3 linked regions of the Coturnix japonica genome follow. The protein of the gene in region 2 interacts with the protein of the main gene of each other region in a pairwise test. Links are inferred from orthologs where the notes say so. Each region holds a gene or a part of one and is shown on either strand. Other genes may lie near its edges.

Region 1 (4,627 bases), on a different chromosome or scaffold from region 2:
TGTATGTGATACTGCAGTGCCGGGGCTGCTGTGCCGTGCAGGTTCATCGGTACCACAACACCCGGCGGTACCGGGCCGGCTCAGCCCAGCGGCTCACAGCGATATGGGCCCAAATAGAATCACAGAGTCACAGAATTGTAGGGGTTGGAAGGGAGCTCTAGAGATCACTGAGTCCAACCCCCCTGCCAAAGCAGGCTCCCTACACCATGTCACACAGGTCGGCGTCCAGGCGGGTCTTAAGTATCTCCAGAGAAGGAGACTCCACCACCTCCCTGTGCAGCCTGTTCCAGTGCTCCGTCACCCTCACTGGAAAGTTCTTTCGCACATTCGTGCGGAACTTCCTATGCTGTACTTTCATCCCATTACCCCTAGTCCTGTCCCCACGCACTACTGAAAAGAGACCAGACTCACCACTATGGCTCCCACACCTCAGGTATTTATAAACCTGGATCAAGTCCCCTCTCAGCCTTCTTTTCTCAAGGCTAAACAGACCCTGTTCCCTAAGTCTCTCCTCATAGGGAAGATGCTCCAGACCCTTCACCATCTTAGTGGCCCTCCGCTGGACTCTTTCCAAGAGATCCCTGTCTTCTTTGTACTGGGAAGCCCAGAACTGGACACAATATTCCAGATGAGGCCTCACCAGGGCAGAGTAGAGGGGGGGGGATCACCTCCTTTGACCTGCTGGACACGCTCTTTTTAATGCACCCCATTATGCCATTGGCTTTTTTGGCTACAAGGGCGCACTGCTGCTCATGGTCAATCTATCATCCACCAGGACGCCCAGGTTCCTCTCAGCAGCTCTTCCCCCAGCCTGTACAGCCGGAGCGAGAGCTGCTGCATTGGCCTCAAGGCTCGGGCCCGGGCAGCCGCCACATGGACACGGGGATCCCTCCATCTCTATCCATCTCTATCCATCTCTATCCATCCCTCCATCCCGATCTCTCTGTGCTCGCTCCATACACTCAGCCCCACCGACCAGCAGCAGCTCCTCTCCCCACACCGCTCCGTGCTCAGGCCCTTCCTTCCCCTCACGTCCTCTCCCTCCCGCCCCAGCCCCTCGGGATCCCCTCGCCTCCGTTCTCCCCTTCACTCACCGCAGTCGATCCCTTCTTCACCGCCTCCTGTGCGTACTCCACCTGGAACAGGTGCCCGTCCGGAGAGAACACGGTGATGGCCCGGTCGTAGCTCATGGCTGCCGGCCGCGCCGCCTCCCTCAAAACAGCACACTCATCCCCCGCCCGCTTCCGCACTACGCCGATTGCGCACCCTACGCCAACTCCGTACGCTGCAGCCGCCGAGCTCCATCCGCCGCTCCTTACGCCAGGAGCGGGCGTTGCGCAACGAGCGTAAGCTGCGCTAAGAGTAGATGGCGGCGGTTGTTACGCAGTTGGCGCAGCTGGCGGCGGCCGGCGGAGGGAGGGAGACGGCGCTCGGCTGCGACAGGAAACCGGGCGGCAGGGCCGGACCATGTGCGGGCAGCGGGGAGAGCTGCGGGCCAAGGGGCGGCCGGTTCTGCTCATATCCCGATAATCATCCCTCGGTTCCACCCGCTCCGACCCGCCGGGACCGGCCCCGTGTGCGGGGGGTTGTGTTCGGGTCCGGGTTATTCTGCCCGTTGCCGTGCGCCGGGCTCAGATCGTACCATGTGCGGCACCTCCCCTGCCCCAGCACTGCGGAGAATCGTGGGCCGGCAATAGCAGGAGATAATAACAATATTATTAGAGCACGGGACCCGTACATTAAAGACACGTAAAAAAAAATAAAGCCCACCATGTCGGTTGCCTTTGCTTCTGCTCGGCCGAGAGGCAAAGGGGAGGTGACCCAGCAAACTATCCAGAAGGTAACGGCATATCGGCATATCGGCATATCGGCATGCTTTGTACCGCGGGGTGGACGCGATGCTGGACGTGATTCCGTCCGCGATCCCGCAGCCGATGATGGAACGAGGCGGATTGAGGCAGAGAGGGAAAGTCGTGCATGGCCGGGAATGCGGAGATGGACGGCGAGAGAGAGACAGAGAGAGGTGGGGGAAGGAGGAGGTGGAACAAAGCGGAGATGAGCGGAGCTGCGGAGCCGGAGGGAACGGGATGGAATGAGCCGGGTGCTGCCGGTGGGAAAAAAGAGCCACAATAACGCGTTGGAAAATCGCAATAGCGTGTTGAATGTGTGATTACTGACGGTGTTTGGGGACGGTGAAATAAAATCCGATATGGCATTGGGAAGGGTTTTGTGTTTGGATGCCGGAGGGAGCAGCGCTCAGCGGTGTTTTTCGCCTGCTGTTACCGCTGCTGGTGATGTGTGTATTGGTGTATAATGACAAAGGTGGTGAAGATCTGCTCTGCGCTGAGCTCCGGTACCGCAGGGCTCCCGGTTGGGAAGTGCTCGTTTCCCATCCCGTTGGCTGGCACAGGCGCTGCGTGCACCTGCCGAACCTTCACCCCATCCCATCCCTCCCAGAAGGGAACTGTATCACGAAGCGGCTGGAGACTCAATAAAGTCCGTGCATGTTTCACTCTGAGCGCTATCTGTCATTTGTGCTGCCCGTCATCTCCTTCCCCACCACGGAGCCGTTTTGTCCGTGCGGTCCGTGCGGTGGCAGCGAGGTGCGGGTGATGATGGGCAGCGAGGCGGGGTTGATGTTTAACCCAGCAACGAGCGGATCGGCAAGAGGTGTTACAGCCAAACCGCTCATTCTCAGGTGCCAATAAATGACTTCAAGGGAGAACAGCTGGAGGATGGTACAGAGCAGGGATGGAGCTGCGTGTGAGCACGGGGAGTGTGACTGCGTTTGTTGCTGTGGGACTTCGGGGCTGGCAGTCGGTGTCTGTGGCTGCTGGCAGTGGTTCTGTTTGCAGAGCTGGTGGTGCTGAGCTGGGGATTTGCAGGCACAGACTGAATGGATGTTCTGGTTCGGTGTAATGGAGCGGTCAGATCAGGCACTGATGCTGGGCTCGTTACAGATTCCCACTAAAGCAAATTATTTAGACTGTTGTGATGCCATTGGAAAACAAGAGCGTTGTTATTCGTGTTTGTAATAGAAAAGCAGCTCGTTTTTATTCATTAACTCAATAATCTTTGCAAGCTTTAATTATTCCAGCACTGCCGACCATCGGGAGATCACTGATGTGTTGGAAGTCAGAGCTTTGGCCGCACAGCAGTGATGGCGCTGCTTTGAAATGCTCATCAAATAGCGATTGTAGGGCAGTGAGCTGCTGTTTCTTGTGGGTGGTGGAGATCAGAAGTCGGGGCCGCCTGCATCCCAGCAGGTCAAGGACCTGTGCTGTGCTATGCAGGTACCTGGTCGTATCCCAAAGCAAAGTGCCCAGAACTCCATCATTGGCTACAGGGAGCAGATGTGGAGTATGACACAAACACGGGTCTGTAATGTGATTCTCACGTGTTCTGATCGTGTTTCTTTTATGCAGATGTTAGATGAAAATCACCACCTAATACAATGTATTATGGATTATCAGAGCAAGGGGAAAACTGCAGAATGCACTCAGTGAGTATGATGAGTTTCGGGCTGTGTTTTTTGGTGTGCTTTTTCTCTAGGGCTGTACTATGAGCAGTGCTGTCAGTGAGGAAATGCTTGGACTGATTCATTAGATTGGCCTCTATTACAAAATATATCTTGTTCTTGGGATGGAGGGTTGGGTTTTTCCCCCCCAAGAGTGTTTGAGAATTTAGTATTTAGAATATATTTAACAGATTATTTATTAAGTTTGGAGAGTCATGACAATGTCTTCACCTCCTGCTTGGAACTTAAAGCCACTGAAGATTTCGAGCAATGAGGATCACAGAACGTATCTGCAAGGCAGGCAGTGCTGTGTGTCTGTGTGCCTTTGGGAGGAGACACCACGTCCCATGATTTTGCATTCATTTCACAACCTTGGCTTCATATTTGCCATTTTACTACTTCCCACACGTTTTTCCCTGATCAGAAGGAAAAAAAACATGTTAAAAAAGATTTTCTCTTACTTTCTTCTCACACTCCCCAGGTTTGACTCTTCACTTTGCACAGTGGTACATCTGTAGTTTGCTTTTGGATGCCCCCCTGTTCTTCTGTATGAACTTTTCCAGTTCATGGAGAACTGTGAAGAAGCAGAGATGCTTCAGGTGCTGCTGACTTGAGTAAACACTCCAGTTAAAGCACTCTTGAACAAATCTTGTTCTTCTCAGCTTGTTGACAGGGCAAACAGCTTTTGGGTTATGGAATGGCATTGCAAATAGGACCATGGTTAGACAGAGGAAGAATCTATGGCTGGTTGTTCAGGCTGCTGACCCCATGTCAGTTCTCAAGCCTGAGCTCCCACTGCACAGCGCGCTCCATGTGCTTGCAAAGCAGTGTGTGTTTTACCTCCTGCTTCTCACGTGTTTACCTGTTGGTCAAAGGAGTGTTGAACACGCTGTTGAAAAGCACAGCAGCACAGATATAGGTCAGGATGGTCACTGTTTACAGCACAGATATAGGTCAGGATGGTCACTGTTTTCTTTGACAGACATAAAGGGGGATCATGTAATGTAATGAACTGTTTGAGCATAGCAAAAAAAGAAAGGAAAGAAATTGGAATGTTCTGTGTTGTTAAACCTTTCCAAATAAGCTTTACTCCTTATTCTGTAGATACCA
Region 2 (4,071 bases):
CCGGGTACGATCCTGTGGGTGGAGGAAACGGACCTGGCGGTGAAGGTCCCCACGTTCCAGGTGGGACTGTACCCCATGGTACTGTTGGCGCTGCCCCTGGAGTCTGGGTGGGAGCAGAGTATGGCCCCGGGGGTGGATATGGCATGCTGGGTGCAGGATACTGCCCTCCCATTGTCGGTCCCCATGCTCCAGAGGGCATGGATCCCCACGGCCCAACGGGAGCGGGAGGCGCAGCTGGCTCCGTCGGACCGCCATAAGGTCTTGGAAGCTCTGGAAAGGGCATGTTTGGCGGAGGATACTGCCCCGGTGGGACGGGACCTGGCACTGCTGGGGGTGGATATGGACCTCCGGGAGGAGGGCAAGAGGGTCCGGTAGGAGGAGGAGGAAATGGAGCAGGCGGTCCAGGGGGCATTGAAGGATACATTCCTGTAGGCGGGGGGCCGAAGGGCACGTTGGAAGCAGACGTGTTTGGCGGCAGCGCTGTGGGCCCAGCAGGGGGAGCGCTCGGGTTGTTCCAAGGATTCGATGGCGGCCAACCCTGCGGCGGCTGGGAGGGCTGCTGGCCGGGTTTGGCACTGCTCACTTTGGAGGTTTTAGCAGGAGACTGATCGGGTAAAGCATCTGCCAACTGAGAGAGAGAGCAGTCGTGAGCATGGGAGATACCTGCTGGAGGGGATGGTTGCCCACAGTCACCCACTATCCATATGCATTTCAGTTGCCAGAATGGGAGGAGAAAGAGCTACATGCTGCTGCACAGAGAGCACTACATTCACTTTGTGCAGCTTCTGTCATTAAAGAAGAAGCATCCTGACATGCCACAGCTCTAAAGCCAAAGATAAAAGGCAACCCTCAGCAATAAACAACCCCAGTACAAACCCAGGAAGAAGAATGTGCTGTAAGTTTCCATTGTAGCTACTCCGATGCTATTAGGACAGCACCCCCCTGTGAGAACCACCACAGAAGAGAACCTTCGAGGCACCTGAATTCACACCCGGAGGCCACAGTCTGTTACCTCTGCCCCAGAGCAAAGAGCTGTTAGTGCAATGCCCAGGCAGTCATCTCAGCTGCGCGCTGCCCTTCTTCTCATAGAAGCGTCTGAACAGAACGAAGCAACTGGCACCTTCGGGAACAAAAAGCCATTACTTACCGAAAAATCATCAGTTCCAGACATTATGCTGAAAAGCAAGGTAAAATAAAGTGAAATTCCTTGAAAAGAAAGTACATTGAGGATGAGTTCAGCAAGGATTCAATATCGGTCTCATTCAAACCCAAAGGGACATCCAGCTGGCAGAGCCTCAAACATGGTTCCATCCCATTGACTGGGGTCCATACACACAGCAGCCACCCAAATGCTCTCCCTCAATACGGCCTCCACCTCAGCTCAGATGGGATCCATGCAGTGTTAATGGCTCATAGTATCAATGGCTCAGGACACTAAGATAAACTATTTCAGGTATTCATGCCCAACAAGCAGCCCCTACAGCAATGCCAGCAGGTATCCAGGCTCTTTTCTAAACCAGGAGAAGTTGTTGAAGTCAATGCCCCTAAAATTAAACACCATCACACCCCCATTCGGATCTTATCTTTAGAAGTACTAAATGTGGGTTTTAAATACACTAAAAGTCAGTGGATGCTCCTATTTGCTTCCACTAACTTCAGCTAAGCAGTATTGAATGCAGACAGAAGGAAGGCTGTGCTGCTCTGCTCGTTATTGTGTGCTCTTCCCACTCCCTTTCAGCCCTTCCTTCTCCATGCTGATATGGAGCTGATGCCACTGACCTTTGCTCAGCACCTGCTCCATCCCCTCGTGTATTCTCACTGCTTCTCTTTGAGGTTTCTCCAATGCTTTTGTAGCTCTTAAGATGAATGACAAGAAAGAGCCAGAATGAATCCAAGATGTGAGAGAGCCACTGATTTATACAGTTCCTTAATGACGTTCTGGTTCGCCCTCTATTTCCTGCCCAACACTTAATGTTTGATCTTCTTTTTGTTCACTGCTGAAACTGACTCCTGCAGCAGTACTTTATTCTTCAGTGTTAAGGGTCAGCCCGTCGTTTTATATATGAAGCGATGCGTGTCATTTCACATTCAAGAGCTCTGAATCACATCACATTTATCTCTATGGAATTACGTTTGCCATTTTATTACCTAAGCTTTACTTTCCTGACAGCACCACACATTTCCCAGCAACGATCCCACCAGGCAACCAAAGCCCTGCAGAAACAGAGTGAACTTCATCTGTAGGTGAAGTTATGGGATGGCACAGACCATCTGAGAAACAGATCTACAAGGGACTGGAAAACACTATGGAGAGAGTTAGAACATACGCTGCAAGGGGGAGAGGGAAGAGAGGAGACAGACCCAAAGGGTAACCTGGAAGGAAATCCCATCATCTGTATGAGAAATGGTAATGGAAGCTGAAGTAATGGATGGCTACAGCAGAAAGAGCCCTGCCTGCAAAATGCCAGCAAAAATCCCCCATATTTACCAACCAGCTGATGGTTTCCAAAGGCTTCTGTGCTGTGAAAATTAAGGAAACAATTCTGCTGTGTGGCTGTTAGGAGAAAGCCTGCAGCAAAGAGAAGCTCCTGATAAGATTTAGTGGCTCTCTCACTTTGGCAAGCAGACGGGAGCAACATTTGGCATAACTGAGACAGAGCCAAGCGTGTCAAGGATCCTCCTGCAGACAGGATGGCCCACTTTGGGGACGCTTTTCAAACACCCATTTCATCTGCACGCTGCCACCGTCATTTAATAAAGGAGTCATTCTGGTCCTGGTAGGCACATACAACATACAAACCCATCTAGAATCCATACGCCATCCCAGCTGCACAGCACAACTCCAATCAAGACCTCAGTGGAGCTATCAGTTCTATTACAGGAGCACGGCACGGGGCATCCACGTGCTCAGAAATAGAGTCTGACACTGCTGGACTGGAGACCTCAGGGTCCCCACTGCCAACACACGGGCTCACCATCTCAGAATATACACTGCTGCACTGATGAGGCTTTGAGTGACCGCATGGTTAACAAATGGGCTTGGAGCTCCTGCACTGTATAGAGAAAAGCTGGTCCATGGATCAGACATTTCCTACTGCCATATTTAAGCTCTACTTCAGATTGCGTTTCCTTGGGGCAGAGGGGAAAAGTAGAGTGAATGGAAGGAGGAAGATTCAAGGAGTTTAAGTAACATGGCAGGCAGGAGAAAGACTACTGAACTAACAGCATTAAATCCCAAGTCCTGCTTGCATCCACACTGCTGCAAGACAACATTTCCTTTGTGCTGTGCTGGCCAACGCCCCTGGCAGCACCCTTTGCTTTGCACAAGTGCTCAGCCTGCAGCTCCAGACACAACCCAGGGCCAGAAGCATCAAATCGAAGTGAGGCAAAAGAGCAAAGATGTCTGAGATAAAGCAAAGGACAGGAATGAGGAGCAGAAATCCCCCACCCTTTGCCCTGAACTGAAACTTGACATGGAGGATTTCCAGCACACCTACCCTGAAACTACAGACAAAGCAGCCTGCAGACAAGAGTCCAAGGCCCCCAGGGCAGCCATCAAGTTGCCACTAATCACTGGGATTTAACAACATGTAGGTAAGAATGGCAGGTTATCAGGCAGGACAAAGGCTGAGATGTGCAGCACTGCCAGGCCAATCCTACCTGCAGTACTGAACACCATGTGAATCCATGGCCAGCTTCAGAGAGCTCTGTGAAAACCCCCTGGGGTTGATGCTCCATGTGGCAAATTAAATCCTTCAGCCTCCGCCCTAAAACAGCCCAAAGTGTTTTTTCGGCTCTGAGTCCCCTCTGCTTCCACCAGAACCACATGGAAATGAGCGATGCAGGAGCATTTTTCCCATGCTCTTGCCCTCCCTGGCTTTTCTCCATCACCGGTCCCTGGTGACTGCCATTAGAATGAGCTGCCCCAAACCCTTCTTCCTTCTGTTGCTAAAGCGATTCAAACTGCTTTCATAACTTCATCAGCTGCATGGCACTTTGCTCACTATTGATGTGACAGATTCAGTTCCCATCTCTGAGATCACAGAATATCCCTGGTTGGAAGGGACCTCA
Region 3 (4,570 bases), on a different chromosome or scaffold from region 2:
GAGAACACCACTGAAAGCAAACCAGTGTTTTAGGAGTTTGCTTTGGACAGTCAACCCAACCTGGCCAAAAGGGATGTTGTGCTCAGCAAAAAAAAGCTGAGAGAAAGGAATAAAGCTGAGGGGAGACATCTGAAATGATGGCATTTGTATTCCCAATTGTTACATGTGATGAGCCCTGCTTTCCTTGAGGTGGCTGAACACCTGCCTGCTAATGAAGCAGGAAGTAGAAAATACATTTCTTGCTTTGCTTTGGTTGTGTGTATGGCTTTTGCTTTACCTAGCAGAATGTCTTCATCTCAAACCACGAGTCCACGGGATTTTTCCTTTCTGATTCTCTCCCCACTCCCATCTTCAGAGTGTAACTTAGCAGCTGTGAGGTGCTGAGCTGCCTGACAGGGTTAAACTACAGCAAAGACAAACACCCACCGAGCAAAACTCATTCTCTTAAAAGAACAAGAGGTAGGTGGATAAAGAGAAATTCAGTCTAACTGCAGAGAAAAAGGACCTGTTATTCACACATCAAGGTAGCTGCAGAGGCACTGATGAAATGGTGAAGCTCATAACAGTGTTAATGCCGGTTAATGTACTATATGCATTTCACAAGTCTTGACTACAGGAACATCAACTGTTTCAGTTCTACTTTGATTCAGCAGAAGTTGGTTTTAAAAGGTTTCTCTGCAGGAGGCTTTTTAGAACAACATTAGCATAAAAAATTAAACGGCATCCATACATGGGTCTTCTTTCAATGTTTTCACTAAACATTTAGCACTATGTTACCTTGTCTGTCTTATTGATGTTGGTTATTGGTCAAGTTTCCTTGTTGTCCTCACTTCAGAACAGTGTCAGGATAAGCCGCCATGCACTAACAGTGGCAGAAAACAGGAAGCTGCATCAGAAAAAAGAAATTAAAAAGCTTTATTTACTGTCAAACTTCTTTAAACACTCTAAAACATTTAAACAAATGTACCTAGTTACAAAAAGCCATTATTTTATCGTATGTAATAATCACGTTTACACTTCTGAGTGCAGTGCAGTTTGAGGTTCAGCTAAATCAGATCCTGAACAAGAGTTTTGATTTCATAATTGAGGAAAGAATGGTGTTCATTTTTCTAAGTTTTTTAAATGCATGTAGGAGCAATATGTTCCTTTGCAGGAGGACAGTGATCTACCCCAGCAGTCTTAAAACGCTCACGCACATGGCCTCCAACTTAAAACCCCAGGTGAAGCTGTATTAATTAATTAAATCTAAGTTAAACTTAGACTGATTCTGCACTATAAAAACCTAGAAATCCATTTCTGGAGTAGAATTAAGCAGTGCATCCTCCAGATAGCACCAGGACACATTACCAGGAGTAACAGAACATTCCCACAAGCAGAAACACTGAACCAGGCAATTTTACACTACAGTCAGAAACACACAATGTTTAAAAATACCATCTGACCCCACTTCAGCTTAGAAGTCTGTTTTTCCTACTGAAAAGAGAGCAGTGATCTGCCTGACATTTATGCAGTCCACCTGCTTGTTACACATGCTCATCATCCACACAGAATCACAATTAGCAGGACAAGGGGAAATGGTTTAAAGTTGAAAGAGGGAAGATTTAGGTTGGATGTTAGGGGGAAGTTCTTCACTAGGAGAGTGGTTAGGTCCTGGAACAGGCTGCCCAGGGAGGTTGTGGGTGCCCCGTCCTTGGAGGTGTTCAAGACCAGGTTGGATGGGGCCCTGGGCAACCTGATCTAGTAAATGTGTATGTTTGGTGGCCCTGCCAGGCAGGGGGGTTGGAACTACATGATCCTTGAGGTCCCTTCCAACCCGGGTCATTCTGTGATTCTGTGACTGCTCCCCTCCCTCTTTCTTCCCTAGCATGAAACACCCACCTCTTCCAAGGGCTGAGCTCACTGCTAACAGGGCGAGGGTAAGGCTGTGTTGACACACTACACAGGTGAACCATGACATGACAACACTGCTTTTCTGACTCCTCACACACACCTTGTGAAATGAGTGACACACAGAGATGGGGCTACTCTTGCTGATCTTACTACAGCTCCGAGTACAATTTAACGTGCTGAACGAGTACAGAAAATGCATCTACAAGTGGATTAAAAGAGTTCATTTAACTTGCACCTCACATGGTTTAAACATCACAGCTGGACACTGGTTTGGCTTCTTTAGCATTACAGTGCAGTTTGCTTTGAAACAACAACTAAAAACAGCACCTCATCAGTCATTGTGCTGCCACATTTCAGGGGACACACCTGAGCAGCTGTAGCCTTTGGAACGCATCACTTGTATCTTTGTGCAAGGAAACTAGCTTGCTGCTGTAACATACTTACATAATTACATTGTCTTACTCACCAACATCACTCACATTAATACACTGCACGTCTAGCAAAGAGTAAGAAAAGATAACAGAAAAACACTGGAACGCACTATTTTTTTTTCTTCTTTTCTGTTTGTTATTTTTTTTGCCCAAGCATCCTCCGCTTGGCTTGGGTTAGAAGAGACTCCCAACGCTACACCTGCTCGCAGCCGTCGCATAAAACAACCCGCAAGGTTTCAAAGCACAAAATCGCACAGCATTCCGGCTTCCCCTCCCCACAACGTGACACAGCTGGATGGATCACGGCGAGGCAGGCCCGGTGCACGGAGCGGGGCCCGCTGACCAAGGCCCGCCAGCCAACGCGGTTCAACGCGGCCCGGAGCCTCCCTGAGGCGAGGCCGGTTGAACGCGAGGGGTCTCCCAGCCCCGGAGCCCCCCGGCCCAACGCCCCAGCCGCCGCCCTCACCCGCCCCGCAGCGCCTGACCCCGAGGCGAGGGTGGGCCCGTTGTCTTACTCTGGCTCCCGCGTGGTCCTGCCGGCGGAGGCCCAGGCGCTTTCCGAGCCTGGACACAACCACCGCCACCCGTACGTGGCACAAGAGAGAAGGGGCGGCCGGAACGCTGCCGCTGCCGGGCCTGCGCGCTGCGGCCGCATGCGCACTGCGGACACCGGACCGCCGCCACGCGGGGAGGGGGGAGGAGGCGGTGGCTCGTCTGTTTCACACAGGGAGTGGTGACGCACTGGAACAGGCTGCCCAAGGAGGCTGTGGATGCCCCATCCCTGCAGGCATTCAAGGCCAGGCTGGATGTGGCTCTGGGCAGCCTGGGCTGCTGGTTGGTGACCCTGAACGTAGCAGAGGGTTGGAACTACATGAGCATTGTAATCCTTTTCAGCCCAGGCCATTCTTTACAAGTCTTTGCTGACAGAAGGAAAACTGCCAGCGAAACTTCAACCTTGGATGTGGGGAGAACAAATTTGAGGCTGCTGAGGGATCTAGCTGGCAGGATTCCATGGGAAAATGAATCTGAAGTTAATGGGTCCATCATACAAGAAGTCTGGTAGATAAGTATGAGAACATAATTAGAAATAATTAGTCCATTTTCAATGTAAAGAAATATGTATCATCTCTTCAGTTTTAGTAACATAGGGAAGAGGTCTGGAAGACAGGACCTTTGTGTCCATTACAAGTACAAGCTGTCATTTTTCATACCTTTGAATAGACAATTCATAGAATCATAGAATCATAGAAAGAATCATAGAATCATAGAATCATAGAATGGCCTGGGTTGAAAAGGACCACAATGGTCATGTAGTTCCAACCCCCTGCTATGTGCAGGGTCACCAACCACCAGACCAGGCTGCCCAGAGCCACATCCAGCCTGACCTCGAATGCCTCCAGGGATGGAGCATCCACAGCCTCCTTGGGCAACCTGTTCCAGTGCGTCACCACCCTCTGCTTGAAAAACTTCCTCCTAATATCAAACCTAAACCTCCCCTGTCTCAGTTTAAAACCATTCTCCCTTGTCCAAATCAATCTTCCTCCATAATATTTCTTTATCAAAGGAGCTTTTTCCCTGTGTTAACAAGGAGAAACTTCCTGAACTTAAAGCACACATATCACAAAGAATGCCAAAGTTCACTACATTATTAAGATTAGTATATTCCACGTGTATAGATAAGAGTTGAACTATTGAGCCTACAAGAATTAAGCATATAACCGGAAAAGGCTAAATTTTGCTTTGCTTCAATTCTATAATTAAGATCACTTGGAAAAGGGGAAAAAAGAAAAAAAATAGAAAAAAAAACATAAAAATTATAATTTTCAATATTTTTTATGCTGGAAGTTTTTTCTTTTAGTTCTGACATCCTTGGTACTTGCTCTAAAGTGTTTTGCTAGTATCTAAAAGCATTCAAAACAGTGTGTTTGATGTGATTAGTTAAAAGTCAACATTTTGCAATCCAGTATTATATATACTTTGGTTGTAGTTTTTGTGTGTGCATGTTTGGGTTTTTTGTTTTTGCGTTTTTGGTATAATATGGGAATAATGTATTTATTAAGCTTTTAAAAAGATCTGTATTCAAAATTAAATGGGATTTGGAGAACAAGAAAGTGCTATTATTCTTTGAAGGAGCCACCCTCACAATATCATAGCTGTTTTTGACAGCATGATCGTCCTTCCTAAACCACATAATAATTGCTAAAGCTAAAGGAGTCAGCAAAGACAGGTGTTACAAATTGGATTTACAC

Evidence for each region. The genes of interacting proteins can lie anywhere in the genome.
Region 1: the proteins of MAPK1IP1L (region 2) and SS18L1 interact in binary tests that used the Homo sapiens proteins (3 or more experiments, as listed by UniProt). The two-hybrid records come from large-scale screens. The link is inferred for Coturnix japonica from reciprocal best matches to the Homo sapiens genes MAPK1IP1L and SS18L1.
Region 3: the proteins of MAPK1IP1L (region 2) and TFG interact in binary tests that used the Homo sapiens proteins (3 or more experiments, as listed by UniProt). The two-hybrid records come from large-scale screens. The link is inferred for Coturnix japonica from reciprocal best matches to the Homo sapiens genes MAPK1IP1L and TFG.

Annotation. Positions count from the first base shown.
Region 1 is NC_029535.1:6,914,607-6,919,233, forward strand, and holds the start of SS18L1 (calcium-responsive transactivator), read left to right. Parts: upstream 1-1,649; 5' UTR 1,650-1,771; coding exon 1,772-1,840; intron 1,841-3,425; coding exon 3,426-3,502; intron 3,503-4,621; coding exon 4,622-4,627. Other genes in the region: PSMA7 (proteasome subunit alpha type-7), read right to left, coding at 1,095-1,190. UniProt on the Homo sapiens protein: Transcriptional activator which is required for calcium-dependent dendritic growth and branching in cortical neurons. Recruits CREB-binding protein (CREBBP) to nuclear bodies.
Region 2 is NC_029520.1:51,137,289-51,141,359, forward strand, and holds part of MAPK1IP1L (MAPK-interacting and spindle-stabilizing protein-like), read right to left. Parts: intron 1,176-4,071; 5' UTR 1,172-1,175; coding exon 1,148-1,171; intron 629-1,147; coding exon 1-628.
Region 3 is NC_029516.1:76,120,679-76,125,248, reverse strand, and holds the start of TFG (protein TFG), read right to left. Parts: upstream 2,979-4,570; 5' UTR 2,788-2,978; intron 887-2,787; 5' UTR 778-886; intron 1-777. UniProt on the Homo sapiens protein: Plays a role in the normal dynamic function of the endoplasmic reticulum (ER) and its associated microtubules. Required for secretory cargo traffic from the endoplasmic reticulum to the Golgi apparatus.